3 linked regions of the Caenorhabditis elegans genome follow. The protein of the gene in region 2 purifies or fractionates together with the protein of the main gene of each other region. This does not show direct contact. Each region holds a gene or a part of one and is shown on either strand. Other genes may lie near its edges.

Region 1 (5,985 bases), on a different chromosome or scaffold from region 2:
TCTCTTTTTACTTCAACAAGATTCTGCGGAGCGTCGTTGTCAAGAAGGGAAACATAGTGAAGGAGACGGTGACTGTAGGATGAACGACGATTTTCTTTACCGACTAGTTTACTTTCGTTCACTTTCCCGGACATTTGCAAGAAAAAACACATCGGTAGGAAGAAGCAGAAAAGATGATGTGTACACTATTACTGTATGAAAAGAAACGTGTACAACGCCACACTTACTGTCATTTCACCTTTTGACGAGTCTTGATGAAAACGAAAGGTCCAGCTTAAGAGGATGATCAGGAGAAAGAATAGGGATGAAGTATGAATTTTGAGGAAAAAGCTAGAAACAAAAAAGAAATGAAAAAACGAGTAAAGCTCCGTGCAAAATTGAAGGATCGGTTACGAGGTAATTGGAAGGTTTGTATGGAAACCGAAAAAATCTGAGAAGATGATTAATGGCAAAATTCAGTTTCCAATCTAAAAGTTCCCAACAATTTCAACCAGGAAATAAGGAAAGTGGATATTGTTATGGAGTCGTCGGGTCAGATTTGTTATCGCTTGTTCGGCGGCGCAACCGATCCTTCATCGTCATTGTTGCATATCTCTAAAGCTAGTGGCGATTCGCGTCATAAAAGTTATCACATTTGCAAGAGATAATGATTGTGGTGTCATTCGTCAATATCAACACCTTAGAGTAGACTTTGATAAAAGAAGAAGATGATAGCGATATCAATAAAAAAAGATTGGCATTTTGTTAGTTGTTTATATGTATGAGTTGGTGGCAATTTAATCAAATGATGACTACGACCTGTGAAGAAATCATAGAAATTCATTTAAATAGTGCTGAAATTACCCAATATTTTAACAAAACGTTTCAAAGTATTTTATTTCCAGTCAAATTAAATTTGCACCAGGTACCGAGAAATCTAATGCAATGTTGCATGTTCAGACCGTACAATGTTGAAATATAAATGATTAAACATGATTAGCGGGCAAAACTGTGACAGTTTGTTGATCGTTTATGTATTTTTGATGCTATAAACTTTGAACTAAAAGATGGATAATTTAGCTTTGGCCTTTAAACCCTAGTAAAATGTCGAAACATTTTGGTCTGCACGGAGTACATGAAATCAATATTCAAGTTACAAGAACAGATTTCCAAAACACCTAGTAGAAATCGGAAAACATATAAAATGGAAAAGCATGTACAATTTTTTAAGCCATATAACAGAAACTTTTTTTTTGAAAAGTGACAATATAGGTGAATGACCCAATAAAAGTGCGTTCGGTGAAATTTTGCTTGAGTTGAAGAAAGTATTTGTTTGCACACTCGCATGAATAGATGAGACCCAATAATATAGGTCGGATGAAACACCTTCGGATTTCAAATCTCTTCACCTCTTACTGTTCTGGGTCGTGGTCACCAATAAAAAAGCATGTTTCACTTTCGCCTCTTCCACTACTACAACAAATATATTGGCGCGGCCGGGAGACAGCGTCGATCCTACGCCGGTGGCATGTCGTGTCAGAAAAAAACGCAAGACGGTCAGCGAGATTATGGAAGAAAAATGGAAAACGTTGGTTTTTTCTCTAAAAAAGGAAAGTTAGCTAGTGGTGGTATGCGCGGACAGTATTGGAAGCGTCATCAAGATGCGCAACACTTAAAATTTTTGGAAGATAGCATCGCCGAATATTTGGCCTCAAAAAAGCCATCTTTAATAGGCTGAAGGAGGCGATAGTGAATATGGAAAAGTGAAATACTTTTCAAAAATAGTTAGTAAGGAGGTGCATACTGAAAGTTTAACTTTATTCTCAAAATTCTGAAAATAACAAGACGTTTTCAATATATCGTCTATTACAATAATCTCATTGACATCTAAATTCAGAATACCGATATTTTTGTATGATTTCTTATAAATGAAATATTGCTATTAATTTCATACTACAAACAACTTAACACAAAAACAATAAACTCTCCGATTATCTGATAACTTTTAAAATATTGTGGTCTACTACGGGTCAAAGGAAGCTGAGCTCAATTCGGATAGATACAAGTATCAACTAATTTTTTCTATTCATCTAGGCAAAATATGTTTTCATTACAAGTAAAGTTGTGCAGAATTACATTAGCACCGACCGGCTCGCAAACTAAATATTAAAAATTGCAAATTCCAAAACTCCAGAAATGAACCAGAAATTTTCAAATTTTTGTTCCAACTGGTCAGTGCCTCAAGTTTTTAACATGTTTTTTTGTAATCATAATTTTGCTTGTGTTTTTGCCACATGAGCTGTTTAGAGTCCTGTTACCTGGCACCTAGAAATTGTTCGTTTTTTTAATAGTTTGAGAATAAAAGTTTTAAAAAATATAGTTTTAGACTTAAAATTTTATGTGATCAAATTTTTTAATCAAGTGTGACGCTATTAATAGAAAATTTCATTTCAAAACTGATAATGCGAATTCAATCGAAACATAGCTTTTTAGAATGATTTAACTTATACAAATAGTTTTTAAAAGGCAAATTAAAAATTAATGATTGCAGTCTCTGCTCTCTCCAGGAAGGATTCCTTCTAAATTCCAAATTCCAATATCAAAAGTCTTCGGTGTGTCAGTGTCCGAATAAATGTAGTTGTTTGGCAATTCAAACTTCCAACGTCTTTGGCATGGCTGAAAATAAGTTTTTGTGTTGCATGAATAATTAGAAACTTACATTAATTCCGTCATCACAATCGTGGTAGATTTTCAGGTGAGGATCAATAGTTGTGAGTTCCGTGGTGGATCCACTCAATTCGAACTCTCCGTTTGCGTTTGTATAGCCGCTACCCAAATCATCATCAGGGTCGGATCCAAAGTCGTCATCTATCAGCTTTACTTGAACATTTTTTACTGGAACATTGCCACATCTAAACGCGCCTTTCACCTGAAAAAAACTGTCTAAATAATTTGAATTTCTGATAAAGCCCACTCTGTAGTTTTGACGTCCAGAGTGCGATTCCGATGCAGCCAAGACAACTGATAGAACACATGTTCCAAGGATCAAAAGTTTGGAAATCATCTCTGAATTATACAAATTTTAATAAGGAAAATTAAAAAAAAAAGATAGAAAAGTTGGTCAGAAACCAAACATTAAAGATGACAACAATTTTAAGAACCATATTTATTTGTTAAAGTTGAACATTATTCAGTTAGTGAGCACAGCTTCTACTTTCGTTGTCCAATTCGATCTGAAAAAAATATGATTGATAATTTTTGACTAGAAAATTAAATTTGCCAGCTTTTCAATCATTGCGTTCATTTGAACTTGAAAACAATTACTGAATATGATTATTAACATTGTTTTTTAATAATATTGCTAAACATTGTGAGGGGGTTCTTTTTGCCGACCCACCTTCACTTTAACTCAATGCAACTTAAAGCAAAATACCCACGGACGACACTATGCAGCGTTCAAATCAGCATGTCAAATTTATATTACCGTATATTCTCTATTAGTTTTGCACCTCTATTAGTTTTGCATCAAATTAGGTGTCCGAAAATTAGTTTTGCACGCCTTACTAATAGAGGATATACGGTAAATATAAAATAGGCTATACAAGGATTTACATATAGGTTGAGCCGCACACCTATATATCGAATAATTTTTCGAAAACTTATTATAAAACCTGATAAAAACACAAAACAATAAAAAGGTACGGTACACGGTTTCGTTCCCCCCAAAATGATTTTTAATTATTTAACACTACCTTTTTAATTTTAATCCACACGTGAATGTTTATTTTAATACTGTTTTCATGTTTAGGCTTAGAAAATAATTTCCCTAAGCCTGAGAATGAAGAAAAAGTTCACGTCTCAATTAGAAAATATGGAAATCACTTTGGGGGGGGGACGAAACCCATAAATACCAAAAGTACTTTTAATCAATCACCAACCTCCAAATTTAAAACTCCTAGATCCATGATTTCCTTCACTTCTGGCCCATTAGTAATGTATTTTGCTGGTATCCGGATAACCCATTCTCGTTGGCAAGGCTGAAAAAAGGTTAAAAATTAATATTACAAATTGGCACCTACGCTTCCTTGATCATTGCAGTCATGGAAAATTCTTAGTTCTGGATCAATTGGTGTCAGCTCCATTGAAGACCCAGACAACAGAAAGTTTCCATCGTCATCGGTTGTTTTTTGATCCAATACATCGTCTGGGTCTGGGCCTAGAAATTCAATTGGTACGTCACAAACTTGCAATTAATCGAGGATCACTAACCATTATCTTCATCAAAAAGTTTCAAGTTCACACCAGCAGCTGGTTTACTTCCGCACATGAGTCTACCTTTGACTCCAGTCGATTGAGTACGGAATGCAAATGCTCCACCGATTAATAGTAATGTAAGAACTAGAGTCTTCATCATCTATTACTGAAATTTAAAGTTGAATTTCATATTTTTGGGAAATAATCTAGTTTTCGAGAAAAGGTATCAATTGTCAAGAAAAAATATTTATTGAAAGAGACGAAATGTTGAGTTAATGAAGTAGATAACGAAATGTTGACAGTTCCGAGAAAATTTAAGTCAAACACAATAAAATCAAAATTGAGTGACAGTGTTGTTCAAATTTTGATAAATGGATTTGGGTCACTTGTCTGAACTCACATTTCCGAGTATAGAAATCATGAACTATTATAGAGTAAAAAGTACAAATTTCTCTGTGCAAAACCGAATGTTTTTTTTTGGTTTTTGAAATTTTTAATTGTTTTGAGACCCAACAGACCCCAACATGTTTGTTTTTTTGATAAATTACTGAAATGGTTAAAAAATCTTTTGTGGCTGATCAATCAATTCACAAAAAGCATTTAAATAAACGGGATAATGTTAGATAAACACACAATATATACAAGAAGTAATGATAAAATAAAAACGATTTTCCAAATTGTACTACACAAAAAGTTGTCAAAACTGGAGAATTTAGTTAAAACTGTTTATTCTAAATTTTGAACCACCATAAAAATTTTGAGAAACTTTTGAAAAGTCTCATTTTGAATATTGTTTATTTGAGCACATTTTACGTACGTACAAGCAAAACAAAAACCAGAACCTCCTCCTTTATGGTGTCTTATTTGACGTTCAGAAAAAAAGTCATTGGACTTTTAGTCTTTTGAATCATATTCAAAAAAAAAAAATAGAAAAATAATAATCAAACAAAAACTGGAAATGGGGTTAAAGTCTAACGTCTATAATTAAATGTTTTCTGAAAGTTATAAAATCAAAGATAAAACGCGATAAAATATCATAATCAATACGCGAGGTCAAGTGATAACGTTGAAGAAAGTGGTTGTGAAATGAGCTAGTGGGGTGCCATAAGGCGTCGTGTTGACCGAAAACAAGACGACAGTTGGTCCGAAGACTCTCGATTTATTGCATTACGAACGTTTGGAAAGCCACATGGTTCAATAGGAAAATGAATTGAAGAGATCAGATTGATTCATCAGTTTGCGATATTTGATAAATCAAGAGAAAGATTAAGTATATTTCGACGGCGTAAACTCCAGTTCCCATCTTCACTCGGTAAAGGTGCAGAAGGCAGAACTTCATCTGGGATATCTAAACTAGTAGAGTTTTCAGCTACATTCGCAGAAACTGTTGCAACTTCTGGGGGCACAGTTGTTGTCTTCGTGTGTTTCGTCATCTTAAATTACATATTTCTTAATATATAGAAGACTAAAAATGAACTCACCTTTTCTCTGAAAAATTTGAATATAAACTCGCCAACGAAAAGAGCTAAACCAAGTCCAGCACCACCAAGAAAAACCCAAAATGCTCCCTGGGCACGTTTCAAATCCAAGTAACTTTTCGGACCGATGGTGGTAGAGTTGCACTCATTTATTTTCTGCATAGCAACGTAGGATCTGTAGTCTGCTATCCATTTTTGTGTGAAACCTCGTTCAACCATTTCTCGAATTCTGGAACAGTTTTTTTCAAATAAAATGTGACATTTTCTAAATTAT
Region 2 (7,828 bases):
TAATCACAAACCATAGGATTATTATCAATGCTTAGACAATAGGAGGCTATACAAACTACAACATCATCTATTATTTTCTACCGGTCAGCAAGGTCATACGGGCGGTTGACTTGAAGTGAAGACGTCGAGAAACCCTCTGCAGTAATCATTATTTTGTTGCTAACTAACCTTATCAGTTAAACTCAGTACTGCTTTGTCTTCTCAGCTTTTTTGACGATGTTTCGTCAACTACTTCCATTCCTCATTTTATTGATTTGGAGAAGTGAAGCTCGACCTCAGGATGGAGGTGAACCAATTCCAATTTCAAAGTAAGCTTAAAAAGAAAAAGTTATTGAAAATTTTTATTTCCGCGGAATTTTTTAATAAACTTATAGATAAGTCTTTTAGCGTAAACAAGTCTTGTGAGTATATTTTTCAAATTTTATATTAATTTTATGCTCGACAAATCTGTAAAAAAGTTGCCAAAAAAATTCCGATATTGTCTTATAACTTAATCAATTTAGAGACACATCACCTGGAAGACCAGTTTATAATCATTCTCCAAGTGAATTCGCACGGGGACAAGTAGAACAGACAACCCAAAAACCTAGAAGAAGGCATAGGTGAGCGAGATAATTGAAGATCCAGAAATAAGTTATATGTTCCAGACATCGGCGTCCAAGTTACGATGATGCTTACGAGAGACAGATGGAACAATGGAGACAACAGAGAAAAGAAGCGAATAAGGCTCGACAGGCTGCTTCAGACCAATATTATCAGGATTATTTCGATCGAATGAAGCAGTATGCAATTAATACACATGTTAGTCGGTGAGTAATTGAAACTTTGGAAATATTCAAAACTTTATTTTAAAGTTATAACCAACTTCTTGCTCAACAAGAAAAGGAAAAACAACGATTTGCACAAAATATGGAAGAATTTGGATTGAGGAGCTCTGCTCTTGGAGTTGATCGAGCTGATATTGATAACAGTGAAGTATCTCAGAGACCAAGGTACCTCTAATAATTCAGAAAATATTCATAATCGTCTGATATTTCAGTTCACCATTTGGAGGTATAACTGATAAGTCACAGATTGATCAGAAGGCAAAGGCAGCTGATGTTCGAGGAATGATTGTGAATAGACCACCATCAGCAATTGAACCACGTCCAGAAGATGCAGATGTACACAGAAAAGCTTTACACTTGGAAGCACTGTGCAATCGATTTTTACCAACTGTCAGGAAGCATTGTTTCGGTGGGAATAAGACAGAGGAAAAGTATGGAAGCAAATGTAAGGGATACTTCCATGTGAGTTTCTAGAAATTGAATTTATATTATATTTGAATGGTTTTACTTTAGGATTGTCAACGATTCCTTCCAAAGTCAGATCCACTTTATAATATTGCATATGCATTTGATTCAAATGTAGGTCTCAACTTGGGAACATGGAGTGTGAAAGGAATTCCGTACTATCCAATTAACGAAGAAGGAGCAATTGGAGCAGGAAGGCTCATGAATGTTCCATTTGGTTCATGGGGAGGAGGTTATTCCGATCATATTGGTGTAAGAGACTATTGGTCACAATATCAAGAAATCGGAGCAAATTGGTATGAAGGAAAATATGGATATAAGTCTGGATGGAGTGTTCCACTTGTACAATCACTTGGTATTGAAGGAGACACACATGCTGTTGTGAGTTTTTTTAATGCAGAAAATTTATTACTCGAACTTTTTCAAATTTGGCGGTTCATAATTTGAATTCGAGTTTAGAGAAGCATTGCGTACATTTTTTAATATTTGAAGCGGTGTGTGACAAGTTGAATAAGTTCCTATCAAAATATTTCAGGTGAGTGTTCCCCTTAAACCTGGAGAGGCTGGAAAACCAATTGGCGTAGATGTTGGAGGTGGAGTTGGACCTTATTATCAACAGAATCAACACGTTGGAGTTGATTATCTAAATGGTCAAGTTGGTACAAACTTTGGAGTTGGTGTTCCGATGGCTGGTGTTGGGGTGAATACAGGTGTTGGTGTAACATTCCCAGGAGTCAATGATATTGTTGGGAAGAAGAAAAGGAAATAATAATCTTCAAGAGAATTTGTGGAAAAAGAAAAAAACGGTTTATTCACATATGATATTCAGGAAACAAAATACGATAAAACTAATACGATCTACTTAATCTTACCAGTGAATAAATAATTCTTTAAATTTTTACAATTTTGATGCAAGATCAATTGGAACTGTTGGAAGTTCGGAAGCCTCGTGCAAGTCAATAAAGGCGTTGGAAATTACAATTTTTCCAGTTTCCTTAACCTTCATTTGGAAAATAATTCGTTTTCCATTCTTCCAGGTTTCAGTAACCAATGTTTGTCCTGGAAGCACTGGCGATGAGAATCGAACCTGAAAATTAATGATTTTTGAATCAGCAGAAAATATTTTAAAGTTAAATTTAATCAAACCTACCTTGATTGCTTTGAATTTGTCAGAATCATTTCCAGCCCAAGCAGCGATAACATGGCGTGTCGCAAATCCCAGACTGCACAATCCATGAAGAATTGGAGTTTTGAATCCAGACATCTTAGCAAACTCTGGATCAACGTGAAGAGGATTCATATCTCCTGATCCCAAACGATAAAGAGCAGCTTGATCAACTGTTGTCTTTTGTTCAATAACTGCATCTGGAGCTCTATCTGGGACAGTGGCAGCTTTTATTTCATGAGGTGATGTACGATCCCCTCCGAAGTTACCAGAACCGGTTTGAAAAGTACTGAATTGTTGCATTGCAATCTTCTTTCCATTTTCATCATAAGTGGTAACATTTCCAAGAATCAAAGCACCGGATCCTTTGTCAAGAATATCAACGACTCTAGCTTCAGATTTCAATTTTCCTTCTGCTGAAAGTGGTTGATAGACTTCAATATATTGTTCTCCGTGAAGAACTCTAAAATGATTAAACATGTGTTTTCAAGAAATCTTATAAGAAAAACCTCTGAAGATCAAATTCAACTCCTGGCCAATCCATCAAAGTGTGAGCTTGAAATCCTGGAGCAACAATGTACGATGGAAGCACTTTAAAGTCTTCATGGTTCTCATAAACGTAGCACAAATCTTCTTTCGCTCGAGCACCAACTAAATGAAATTATTAATCACTATTCAAAAGGTCTTAGAAAAAATTACCTCCAAGAGCATAAATAATAGCATCTCTGGTAGAATATGAGAACTCGCATGGCTCTGCCACATGTGCGCAAGCAGTTTTCTTATCCATTTTTAAGTATTTGTCGGAGAAGAAACAAAAACCAAATAATGAAATAGAAAATGCCAATACCTAACAAGGAATCGGTACAGTGTAGTCTTGACCCCATGTGTTGATAAGACTACGCTGCAGACTACATAACGAGGGTGAAATCAATAGTTTTTTTTTAAAAATAAGCACTAAAAGAATTATTACCACATACTGATAATTATTAGATGTTTTAAATAATTTGCAAAAAAAGTATACAAGGCTTTAAATTTCAATTAAAAAATATATAAAAACTAGACTTTTGTCGGGAGAGATGTACAACGTGTTCATAGTATACTATAGTATTTGGGTTTCAACTTATAGAAAATGATCGAATAAATTTCCTTCGTTTTGAATTTTGAAGCGAAGCACGCACAAAAATTAATAGACCAGTTTCAGATTTCTCTTAATTCAGAAACATTCATCAAATACCTATGACGCCTTGTCGTCTGTTCAATAAAATTAACATGGAAGGTCGATTTATTTTTTCCGATATTTAAACAACCAAGGATTGTTTGTCGACTGTTAAATAGCTAAATTACAGTATCCATTCTACGAACCATTTCTCTTTCTTTAATTAAAAAAATAAAGCTTATTTTTTCGCGTAAAAGCCTTCCGAAAAATTCACACGTTTTCAAACTTGTGCATTCGCTAAATTAGTTTATATTTTCACTCGTTCACTTTCGTACATTGAAAGAATTCCAAATTCCATACGGTTCGTTTCTATAATGTACAGATTTATTCAGATGTAAAAAACATTAAAACATGAGCCGTCAAATATAGTGCCGACGGTGTGAACACACCACCGTAACACCGTGACGACAGATTGCGGATTCATTTTTCTTTCAGAGTACGATGCAGAAAACTTCTGTAATTGTCGTTTTTTTTCTATTTTAATTTATTTTGTGGCCGTTAAAGATAAAATATAAGACAACAAGTGTTCATACGAATTTTTCAGTACCATGAGGTGACCCGTAGAGCTATAAAATCATGTTTTTCTTGAAAATTTCATCGAACCTGCGCTAAAGTGTATTTTATCACATTGTCTTTTCACTAGTGCGTAGCCAGGGCCGTTCAAAGTACATAGGGCAAAGTCTACAAGAGATAACAATGACCGTCCTCCACGTTTCCTCTCCATCGTTTGTGTATGTTGGCGATTAATCAGTTTATTATGGAAAATTTACGAAAAATACTGAGCAAACCATGTTTCCAGTTATTTTTAGTTAACTTTTAAACTTCTTATTTTATGAAACACTCTTTTATGTAATCCAAAAAAAGCAAAAAACCTATTCGTTCTTTTTTGCGTTCATATAAAATGCTAAATACTTTTCTATAAAACTTATTCTGAATTCTATTTATTTTGATTGCTCTTGGACGTTCAGTGTAAAAAAGTATTGTTATGTCTGTGTTCTATGTTCTCTCACATGCTGCGTCTCTGCTCTATCCACCGTTCGACCCCCAAGTTGTTTTCTTCACTCTTTATCTCCGTCATCGCTATTTACCCCCTACTGATTCACTGATTGAAACCTATATTATTGGTTTTTTCTTCCAGAGAAACGATGCTGTCAACGCTGAGTAAATCTGCACGGCTCAACCAAACACGATTCATTCGTCTTTCGCATTCTGCTGCTGCTGCAAAAGATGCAAAACCGAAGAAGGTCGCTGCAGTGGACAGTCCATCATTTGTCATGAATCTTTTCAGAGGGAAAGCTGTGACTGACCAGGTATTTGAGAATTTTAGCAGGACCTGTTCAAACTGCCAATTTCCAGGTGTTTCCGTATCCTCTGAATATGACTGACGAACAGAAAGAAACTCTTGGAATGGTGATGTCTCCACTGGAAAAGATGCTTGTCGAAGTTAATGACGTCGTAAAGTGAATAATAAATCTTAAATTTACATGATCAATTTATTTATTTTCAGAAATGACGAGACTTCTGACATTCCAAGAGCAGTTTTGGACCAATTCGCTGAGCTAGGAACATTTGGTGTACTCGTTCCACCAGAGCTTGAAGGTTCCGGATTCAACAATTCTCAGATGGCCAGAGTCGCTGAAATTGTTGGAGCTTACGATCTTGGATTTGGTGTTGTCATGGGTGCTCATCAGTCGATTGGCTACAAAGGAATCCTTCTCGAGGGTACGGATGCTCAGAAACAAAAATATCTTCCCGATTTGGCAACTGGACGCAAATTTGCTGCTTTCGCTCTTACCGAGCCAACTACCGGATCTGATGCTAGTGTAAGCTAGAATATTATTAATTTCTCATAAACTTTAAATTTATTCAGTCAGTTAGAACGAGAGCTGAATTGTCTGCTGATGGTAAGCACTACGTTTTGAATGGTGGAAAAATCTGGATTTCGAACGGAGGATTCGCCGATGTTTTCACTGTGTTTGCTCAGGTAATTTATTTTCATTTTTTGGAAAAACTTTCACAATTGATTATTCAGACTCCTGTCAAGCAGGCCGATGGCTCAACAAAGGACAAGATGTCTGCATTCATTGTCGAAAGAGCGTTTGGTGGAGTCACCAGTGGACCACAAGAGAAGAAAATGGGAATCAAGGGATCGAACACAACTGAAGTTCACTTTGATAATTTAAAAATCCCGGTTGAAAATCTTCTTGGAAAAGAAGGAGAAGGCTTCAAGGTGGCGATGAACATTCTTAATAACGGAAGATTCGGAATTCCAGCTGCCTGTACTGGAGCTATGAAACATTGTATCCAGAAGACTGTCGATCACATCACCACTCGTGTTCAGTTTGGAAAGAAACTTCAAGAATTTGGAAATATCCAAGAAAAGCTGGTAGAAATGATCTCGAAACTGTATGCAACAGAGTCAATTGTCTATATGCTTTCATCAAACATGGATCGTGGAATTAAGGAGTATCAACTTGAAGCAGCTATCGGCAAGGTTCTAGCTTCAGAAAATGCTTGGCTTGTATGCGACGATGCTATTCAAGTTCACGGAGGAATGGGATTCATGCGCGAGACTGGTCTTGAAAGAGTTCTCCGAGATCTTCGTATCTTCAGAATCTTTGAAGGAGCCAATGATGTTCTCCGCCTCTTCATTGCTCTTACTGGAGCACAACATGCTGGAAAGCATCTTGCCGAGCAAGCTTCTGGAGTCGGGGGCCTTATTGGGTTGGCTGTTTCAAGAGTTACCGGGTTTGTGAAATCACATTTTTAGAATTATTAAACTGTATTTTTCAGAGGAAACACTGGCTCCAACTTTGGGCAAGTCGTCGACGCAAGTCTTCAAGATTCAGCTAAAGTATTGGATCAGCAAATTGCTTTGTTTGGACAAACAGTTCAAGGATTACTCATGAAGCATAAAAAGGGAATAATTGGTAATAAAATACCTTTGAACTGCTTTTAATTTTAATTTTTGTAGATCGTCAATATGAGATGCACCGTGTTGCCGACGCTGCCATCAACATTTACAGCTCTGCCGCTGTTCTTTCTCGTGCCACCTATGCCATCAAGAACAAATCTTCAAGTGCTGATTTTGAACGCAAAGTTGCTACTTACTACGTTGATAAGGTAATTTTTGATAACTGCCAAATTTTAAGTTTTAATTTCGATATTTACTCTTTCAGGCGATGAAATCATCAAACAGATTCCTGAAGGATGCCGGAAGTGGTGTTGAGAATGCTTCGAAGGTAGCAACAATTGAATCATTGGCGAAGGAAGTCTGTGGAAATGGAGGACTCACTCTTCAACATCCAGTTGAATTGTAAATTGTAAACTAGACTTGTTTTTTTTTATCGTAAGAAGCTCTTTTAGCCAGTCTGTATGTATCTAGAATTGAATTGCCTTCTTTTTTGAATTTTCGGGTGCGAATATTTTATTTCTTGTGCTATAAAAAACGGAAAATAAATTTTATCAATTGAAATTTTATACACGAAATTAAATGAAAATAAGCGGATCGAGAATCTGATCTTCTCCATGGTTCTTCTCGTAAACTAGTCCGTCAGCAGAGTATTTCTCATTAAATACTCCTATTTGATCAAACCCAAACCATCCGGAGAATGGGTTCGATGGTTTTGAAATTTTTGGAAGATAACCTTTTGATTCACCGTATTTTTGAAGTTTTTGTGAGTACGTGCTATGCCAGTATCTGAAGACAATGAAACATTTTAAATATTTTTTATATTTAATTACCGTTCAAATACAGCTTTTATTTGTCTATTGATATCTCCATAATGTGGTTCTTCGTCTACAATAATTGCAGTTCCAGTTGATTTGTAAAAGTATTCAGGTCCATAATTCGATGAACCAATGAAGGTTCTTGATTCGGAAATCATGAATTTTGCATGCATCTTACGATCTTTATAAGCTTCTTGAGCGGTTTGTGGAATTAAAATGAACTTCTGAAATATTTATATTTAATAAATGTTCAAATTGCGAAGGAGATTTCGAATATTACTTAAACGCGAAATTTCGCCCCACGAATACGGTACCCGGTCTCGACACGACAATTTTTGGTTGATTGCAAACGGATGTGCGCCTTTAAAGAGTACTGTAATTTCAAACTTCCGTAAATGGTATAAATTTAATCGTGTTTTCCATAGA
Region 3 (7,362 bases), on a different chromosome or scaffold from region 2:
TTTGCACCAACAACTCCGACAGCTGGTTCAAGGGGGGTGGGTGGTGGTGGGGTTGATGTGAGTGTTTGAGCATCAGACGGGCAACGGGCTCTTTTTGTTGGTGGATCCGATTACTCTGACATTTGACCTACTTTCTCCCATTTCCGGCATTTACAAAGTTCTCGTCATTTTAATCGCTTAATCATACTTGTTTTTGGAAAATTTTTGGCATTGGTTTAGGCTTAGGCTTGGGCCTTAGACTTAGGATTAGGATTAGGCTTAAGCTTAGCCTTGGGTTTAACCTGAGGTTAAGCCTTAGGCCTTGATTTAGACCTAGGCTAAACCTTATTTGTTGACATATTCTGACCGAAGCCCATTATGTCCCAAATTCTTTTCCTGATCCATTTCCCCCTTTTTCAATTAAACCCAATAAATCATTAATTCATTTTACAACACTTAAATTTTTGAGAATCTTCTGAGAAATCACGTGCCATGTCAGAAAAATCTTTTAATTTATTTTACCATCTCAATTATTTTGTAACTGGAACTGATTTTTTTTGTATTTTACCAAAAATTCACAACTGAACATATTTATGATAGTTCTTTTTTTTTCAAAACTTGATAACTTTTTTGAATTTCAAAATATCGAACTCTTTTTACTACAATACAGTAAAAAATGTAATTTAAATAGTTTTTTCACAATAAAGAATAATGCAAGTCATAGTTTTATAGAATTTTTCGGTTCATTTTAACTAATTTTGCACTTACCACCTTGCTAGTTTGTATCTTATTTATATTTTTTATACATGTTTATATTGAGTTCATTGAACCATGTTAAAACCCAGTTAAGTTTTCAAAGTTCCGAGAAAAAATATGCCCTTCTCTATAACTATTCTTGTACTCGTTTCATACTCCGAATCAGCCTATTTCAATTCTCAACTCTCACAATTCCAGATGCTGTTGGTTTTATTGTTCAGCCTGTTCTCTGTCGGATTCGGTATGCGCGTGATGCGTCGTGAACTGCTCAAAGATCAACCGACGGTACTTCTTCTGGGTCCCCTGGAGGTTCTCACTTCCTCCTCCTCCGAAGACGACACTCCCGATTTCCCATCACTCCGCGATAAACGAGGCGTCGATCCGATGAGCATTCCGCGGCTCATCAAAGAACCGCCGTTGAAGAAGCGGAGCGGGGATTTTAAACGAGGTGACGTCGTCTATCCGTCGGCTGCCAAACAGACGGTTCCGCTGGTTCGTGTGAGGGAGCCACCTCTTAAGAGGGGACAAAGTGAGTTTTTTTGTTGTTGAGAAAATGACTAATTCAATTTTTGATTCTTTTTTCAGTGTTCCTTGAAGAGCTACTCCAGTTCAATGATGACGCCCACAGACAATTTATGGATCCACTGAGAAGGATACGGTAGGTTCTTTGATTTTTCGCCCACGCAAATCAAATGCCTTAAATCGCTTCTAATAGGCAAGCGTCTCTGCCTACACTTAGGCTTGCAGTATTTTGCTGATTGCAAGCCGACAAAGAGAACGTTCGGCCACAAATTTGTACTGAAGACACGTGGTCTTCGTAAAAAAGAGAAAGTGTTGGCCGTGAAAATTTTTGTGAACCTAGGCCACGTGTCAACTCACGGAGCTCCACACGGCCGCGAAAAACAAGTCTGTGGCCGAGCTTTCTGCCTGCGTGCTTTCAAAATTATCTGAATGGTCGGCTTACTTCTTTCATTTAAAAAAATATTTTTTTCGCAGATATGGCCCAAACCGACTAATTTACACGTGGTAGAACATCTACAGAGAGCATCATCATCAATTTTTTGGTCGAACTGAAATCCATCAACAGTTGAAATACTCTGAAAAACACAACAACAATTTCAAAAGGAAACCTTAATTTTTTTGTGCACATATTTGGGTACGACACTTTCCGTTTTTTTTCTCTATATTATTTGCCCTTTCCCATTCCCCAGACCATTCCTCAGAACCCCCTTTTCCCCTTCCATTTCTTTGTCGAGAACAATAAACACGTGGCAGAGTTTGAGATTGTTAAATGGTTCGATGAGTATTTTGAATTATCAGGAAAGACGTTTCCAATTTTTAAAAATTAATATCTGGCTTCAAACTAACTTTTTCAAACATCCCCGTAGCCATTCTGTTGCAAATTTTGTGTTCATTCAGAATGTAAAAAAAACCAAATAAAAAAAGTTTCATATCCGCTAAGTTCAAGCAGAAAAAGTGGATTTTCAGTCATAAGTTTTAGTGCACAAATTGAGATTGACTAAAGCCGACCATTTATATGCAAAATTTAGGGCTCTCATGAGGTCGCCGTAACGGTGCCTGCGCCTGCCTCATGGCGTCACCTCGCCGCATGTGTTAAAAAGCAGCGGCCGACGACCCACGGGTTCCACATTTGTTTTGATATTAAGACTCAACAATTCTTTCATAAAATCTTTATTCTCTCAATATAAATGCAACAAGAATCAATAGAAAAAACAGGAAACCGTTGTGGGAATGGGTATCTTTGTTAGGGGGAACTATAATACAATCTCATGGCACATGGAATTCACTTTGGGTCTTGGCAACGAAGTGTCGTTGCAAAATAAAAAAAATATAAGTTACTTAGTATTTCCATCCTTAACATTATCATAGAACAAGTTGCCTCTCTTTGTCTGTTCCAATTCAATAGACTCGAAAAGAGCCTTAAAGTTACCGGCTCCGAATCCTTCATGATTCTGTCGCTGAATAATCTCCAAGAATAGTGTCGGACGGTCCTGGCATGGCTTACTGAAGATTTGGAGCAAATACCCATTCTCATCGAAATCCACCAAAATGTGCAACTTCTGAAGACGATCCATATCCTCCTTAACTACCATTGAAGAAGCCGCGAGACGTTCCTTGAGGTTATCGTAGTAGCTTGATGGAATGGAAAGGAATTCACAGCCACGGGCTCGAAGAGCTTCAATTGCAGTAATGATGTCGGATGTGTTGAGTGCGATGTGTTGAACACCGGATCCTCCGTAATAATCCACGTATTCCTGGATTTGGGAGATTGCCTTTTTGTCCGATGTGGCTGGCTCGTTGATTGGCATCTGCAAAATTTTTGTATTAAAAGTTTAAGCATTTTCTATGTTATTCAGTGTTTTTCAGAAAATAATTTAAATTATTTTGTCAATTTTCTGGAGAGCCAGAAAAAAAAACACAATTATTTGAAAATTCAATTATTTTCCCAAAAATCGAATATTTAAAACATTCGTCGTATTCAAATTAAAAAATGGTTTCTGAAATAGATGTTGAAAATGTTTAGATACTCAGTATTCCATATTCAAAATGCCCTGGAGGACTACACGAAAATTACAATTATTCATTTCCCACGTAGAGTACACAATTGTTCCACAAGAAAAAAAAATTAAAACCCGCGATATGTCGGCTGCTGTTATTTTTCTATTGATTATAAAGACTAACTAGCAACCGACATCTCATAGGACACCGTATTTACCAAATCGATATCTTGATTTTTTTTTGTTGAAAATTACTAATATGTATTTTCCACAAGAAATCTTGCTATAATTTTTTGAATTAAAAAAGGTCGTGCGTCTTTTTAAAACCCGCGATTTGTCGGCTGCTGTTTCTTTACAATAAAAACTAGCAGCCGACATCTCACAGGACAGCCGCACTCCATCGATCTCTTTATATTAACTAACCTTAATAGTCTCCTCGAAATTCGTTACAACAATGGAACGAAGAGCCGAGTACTCGGTATGAATCATGGAATCATCAACAGACCAGAATCGATGGAATTTCAGCACCTTCTCGTACCACTGAACAGCTGAGTCCATTTGCAAGTCTGGCTGATTACCGACACAATGATCGAGGAAGTTCAATCCAACGCGTGGAAGAGTCTTGAAGAATGTGGCTGGCATTGGATGAGCCTTGAAGCCGGGCAGGAATGCTCCACGATAATTTTTACGTTCCAGCAAGGTGTGGTCGGTTTCTCCATACTAAAAATAATATTTCATTGTTTGGATTATTAGAAATTTGCATTTCTCGTCAAAATTTTTTCTCAAAAATTTTTTAATTCCACCAAATTTTCCTGGTCAATCTTCAGTGCAATTTAACAACTTCGGAATTTTTGAAGATATTTTTATTTTTAAGTCTCTTACCGTTCTAAGCGTAGCATATCGAATGGATCCATCAGCATCTGACTCTTCAGTAATATCATGCACAATAGTTGCTCCTGCAGCTTTTGCGTGTGCAATAATCGAATCAAGATCCTCAACCTCAAAGCACACATCCTTAACTCCATCTCCATGTTGAACAAGGTGATTTCCGAGTTCTGAATTATCAGGCAACAATGCTGACTCGAAAATGAACACGATTTTGTCTTGTCGAATAGCGTGTTGAGCAGTAATTCTAGATCCTGTCTCGAGCCCCTTATAGGCAAATGGCTCAAAGCCAAAGTTTGCACAATACCAGTAGGCAGCTTGTTTAGCATTTCCGACTACAAATCTAACATGGTCGAATGCAACAAAAGTGCCGATATCTGGTTTTGCTCCTTTGTCGAATGTAGTCATTTTGATTGAAGTTTTGAGTTTTCTGGAATTTATAGAGTTTAAGGATAAAAAAGGAAGAAAAAAGTCCAGGGGGGTGGGCAGCAATTGCAGTTCGGCAAATTTTTTTTTCGAAAAAATTCGGCAAATTGTCGGTTTGTGGACTTGCCGGAAACTTTGATTTTTGACAAATTGCCGAATAACAATTTGCCTGAAGTTTTTAAAGGGATGTTTTATAAGACGGAAACTAAGCCTTTTTGGAAATTTTTTGCCCGTTTTTTCGAAATCTTTTCATGGAAATTTTTTGCTTTTTAAAATAGATGTAGGAGCATTCATAGGATACGTACAATTATGCAGAATTAAATTGATAATCTTTGCCGATTTAAAAATGATAAAATTGATAATCTAAAATTTCCAAAAAAAAAATGTGCACAGCCACAATTTGCCGAAAATATTCCGTAATTACCATTTTTGCGGCAAATTAGCAATTTGCTGTTTTGACGGAAGTTCTAAATTCTGTCAAATTGCCGGTTTGCCGAAAATTTCCATTCCGGCAATTCAATTTTTGTTCAAATGTTCTATATAAAAACATCAACTTGAGTTACAGATAATTGCAGATTTAATGTTAAAAAAATTGGCCCGCAAGTCGTCTGCCGCTTAATGAACGGAAAAAATACACCACATCTTGTTAGTAAACGTTTTGAAATTTAAACTCTTTCTGGAAAATCCCTTAACCGGCATTGTATGTCTTGAAAATTGGGGTGGCATAAGGGTTGTCTAAAAACAATATCGAAATAAAATTTTTTTGGAAATATTTTAAAACTAGGTAAATATAGTTTACAAATAGTACTGTATAGTAACAAATGTAACATAAAAGCTTTAAAACTATGTAGCATATGAAAAAATTCATTTGACAAAGCTTTGTAGTTTAAAATTTATAAATATCTACAATATGAACCGAGATACAACTCGCCAAAATGAAAGAGAGAAAGAAGAAGAAAAAACTGTAAACAACATCTGAGTGCTAGTAGACTATAGTGGCACTGTGTTACTGCACATAATGCAAGTGCCGACTTTTATAGCACCCTCACGCAAAATTCGGATCGTCACGAATTTCGTCGTCGTCGACAAACTGAAATGAGTCGACGTCGAAAGGGGCGGGCTGGGGGCGGGGGAAGTTGGACACGTGACATTGAGGAGACCACAAATAGTGATGCAATGTGGTCAAAAGAAACTGATAACGCACGTGGGTCGGCATCGTTTCGTTGAAAGATGCTGCTGCTGTGGAGACCCTAATTTGGCGACGAAACTCTTTGAAGATCGGAAGATGCTTGAGGGGAGGGGTGAGAAGAATGGTGAGGTGTCATGGGAGTTTGTAGTCGGAATATAGATGTATAGTATTTTGGTATATGATCTTATCAATGAGATCGAGTAGATCAAATCACACGGACTAACTGTTCAACGTTCTTCAAATTTGCGGGAAGTTCAAATTTTAAAGAAATTTTTTTGGCGGGAAATTCAAATTTTTTGAAAAATAATTTTCAGCGGGAAAAAATTTTTGAGAACAATTTTCGGCAGAAAAACTTAAATTTTCTGAGGTAAAAATTTGGCACGAAATTCAAATTTCTGATAAAAATATTTTTGGCGGAAAATTCAAACTTTGTGAGAAAGACAATTTTTAGTGGGAAATTCAAATTTTCTGAAAAAAACACCCGATTTTTGTTTCACTTTTTTTTGTTTCCGGGCTCACTTTTGTAAAGCTTGAGCAAAAACAAGTAAGGTAAGTATAGTGCCACGTGGCAACATTATTTTAATATGATATCAATAGAGATATGATAATGAATCATTCTCTGTCTACATTTCATCATCATTATCCGCGTTCTTCCACGCGTACCCTTATAAATCAATGACACCACCACCCGGTTTATCAAGATAGGCAGGATTCCTGACCCATCATTTTCCAATTGACACGTTTTCAGTCAGCATGACAAAGAAAACCATCACCTGAAATTCATTTTTGGTGTTGTTTCTGTCTCCTATCTTACACACACATACACTTAATTGACATAACATGTAACTATATCGGGAAAGGAAGCGACGAAATACTTTAGAGATTCAGGCAATCACAGACATTGATATGGTGATAAGAGATTGTTTGCATTGCAAGAGAGAGGGCGAATAAAAAAAGAAAGAAAACGAGGTTGTTCAAGGAAGCCGATCATCAGAATGACGGTGTTGAATTGAAAATAGGCGTCAGTTATGTGGGTGGAAGTCTGCACGTAGTACAGGTTGCAGAGGGGGGTAATAGCTTTATGGTTTAGAAATCAGTGTGAATGAGTTTTGCAATACTAACAATCCATGGTGCTATTTCTGAAACGATTGATCTGCATTGGGTAGTCTATGACGCCTCATCAGAGTTTAAGTAAATTTAGTTAAGCTGAGCATTTAGTATCATTAGGGCAACATTAGGGGTACCTATCCAACTTTAAACATATCTTCAAAAAATGAATAAAATTAGCCAGATGCTAGGCCAAAAAGTGAGGCTATTAGCAGCAAATTGCTGGAATTTAAATCTTCCGGCAAATTGCCGGAATTGAAAATTTCTGGGATTTTGACCACCGGTAAATTGCCGGAATTGAAAATATCTGGCAAATCGACAAACCGGCAAATTGCTGGAATTGAAAATTTCCGGAAAACCGTCAAATTGCTGGAATTGAAACTTTCTGGCAAACCGGCAAATTGCCGGAATTGAAATTTTCTGGCAAAACGACAAACCGGAAAATTGCTGGAATTGAAAACTTCCGGCAAATCGGCAAACCGGCAATTTTTTTCCGAATTC

The links.
Region 1: the proteins of maoc-1 (region 2) and ttr-35 fractionate together in Caenorhabditis elegans (co-fractionation; one large-scale study listed by BioGRID). This does not show direct contact.
Region 3: the proteins of maoc-1 (region 2) and hpd-1 fractionate together in Caenorhabditis elegans (co-fractionation; one large-scale study listed by BioGRID). This does not show direct contact.

Annotation. Positions count from the first base shown.
Region 1 is NC_003284.9:6,509,345-6,515,329, reverse strand, and holds ttr-35 (Transthyretin-like family protein), read right to left. Parts: upstream 3,046-5,985; 5' UTR 3,044-3,045; coding exon 2,954-3,043; intron 2,909-2,953; coding exon 2,699-2,908; intron 2,656-2,698; coding exon 2,518-2,655; 3' UTR 2,412-2,517; downstream 1-2,411. Other genes in the region: ttr-36 (Transthyretin-like family protein), read right to left, coding at 3,174-3,212, 3,918-4,016, 4,059-4,195, 4,249-4,393; glr-8 (Ionotropic glutamate receptor L-glutamate and glycine-binding domain-containing protein), read right to left, coding at 5,466-5,666, 5,715-5,940.
Region 2 is NC_003280.10:7,191,754-7,199,581, reverse strand, and holds maoc-1 (MaoC-like domain-containing protein), read right to left. Parts: upstream 3,307-7,828; 5' UTR 3,245-3,306; coding exon 3,157-3,244; intron 3,109-3,156; coding exon 2,967-3,108; intron 2,921-2,966; coding exon 2,443-2,920; intron 2,380-2,442; coding exon 2,191-2,379; 3' UTR 2,087-2,190; downstream 1-2,086. Other genes in the region: E04F6.6 (uncharacterized protein), read left to right, coding at 217-308, 504-602, 648-809, 855-992, 1,040-1,289, 1,341-1,673, 1,828-2,061; acdh-12 (Very long-chain specific acyl-CoA dehydrogenase, mitochondrial), read left to right, coding at 4,819-4,983, 5,030-5,133, 5,181-5,496, 5,544-5,657, 5,706-6,421, 6,467-6,603, 6,648-6,796, 6,853-6,993; E04F6.4 (PLD phosphodiesterase domain-containing protein), read right to left, coding at 7,163-7,373, 7,418-7,626.
Region 3 is NC_003281.10:10,532,733-10,540,094, reverse strand, and holds hpd-1 (4-hydroxyphenylpyruvate dioxygenase), read right to left. Parts: upstream 4,570-7,362; 5' UTR 4,548-4,569; coding exon 4,137-4,547; intron 3,975-4,136; coding exon 3,678-3,974; intron 3,066-3,677; coding exon 2,592-3,065; 3' UTR 2,412-2,591; downstream 1-2,411. Other genes in the region: nlp-68 (Neuropeptide-like protein 68), read left to right, coding at 934-1,264, 1,321-1,393, 1,732-1,765. UniProt on the Caenorhabditis elegans protein: Key enzyme in the degradation of tyrosine.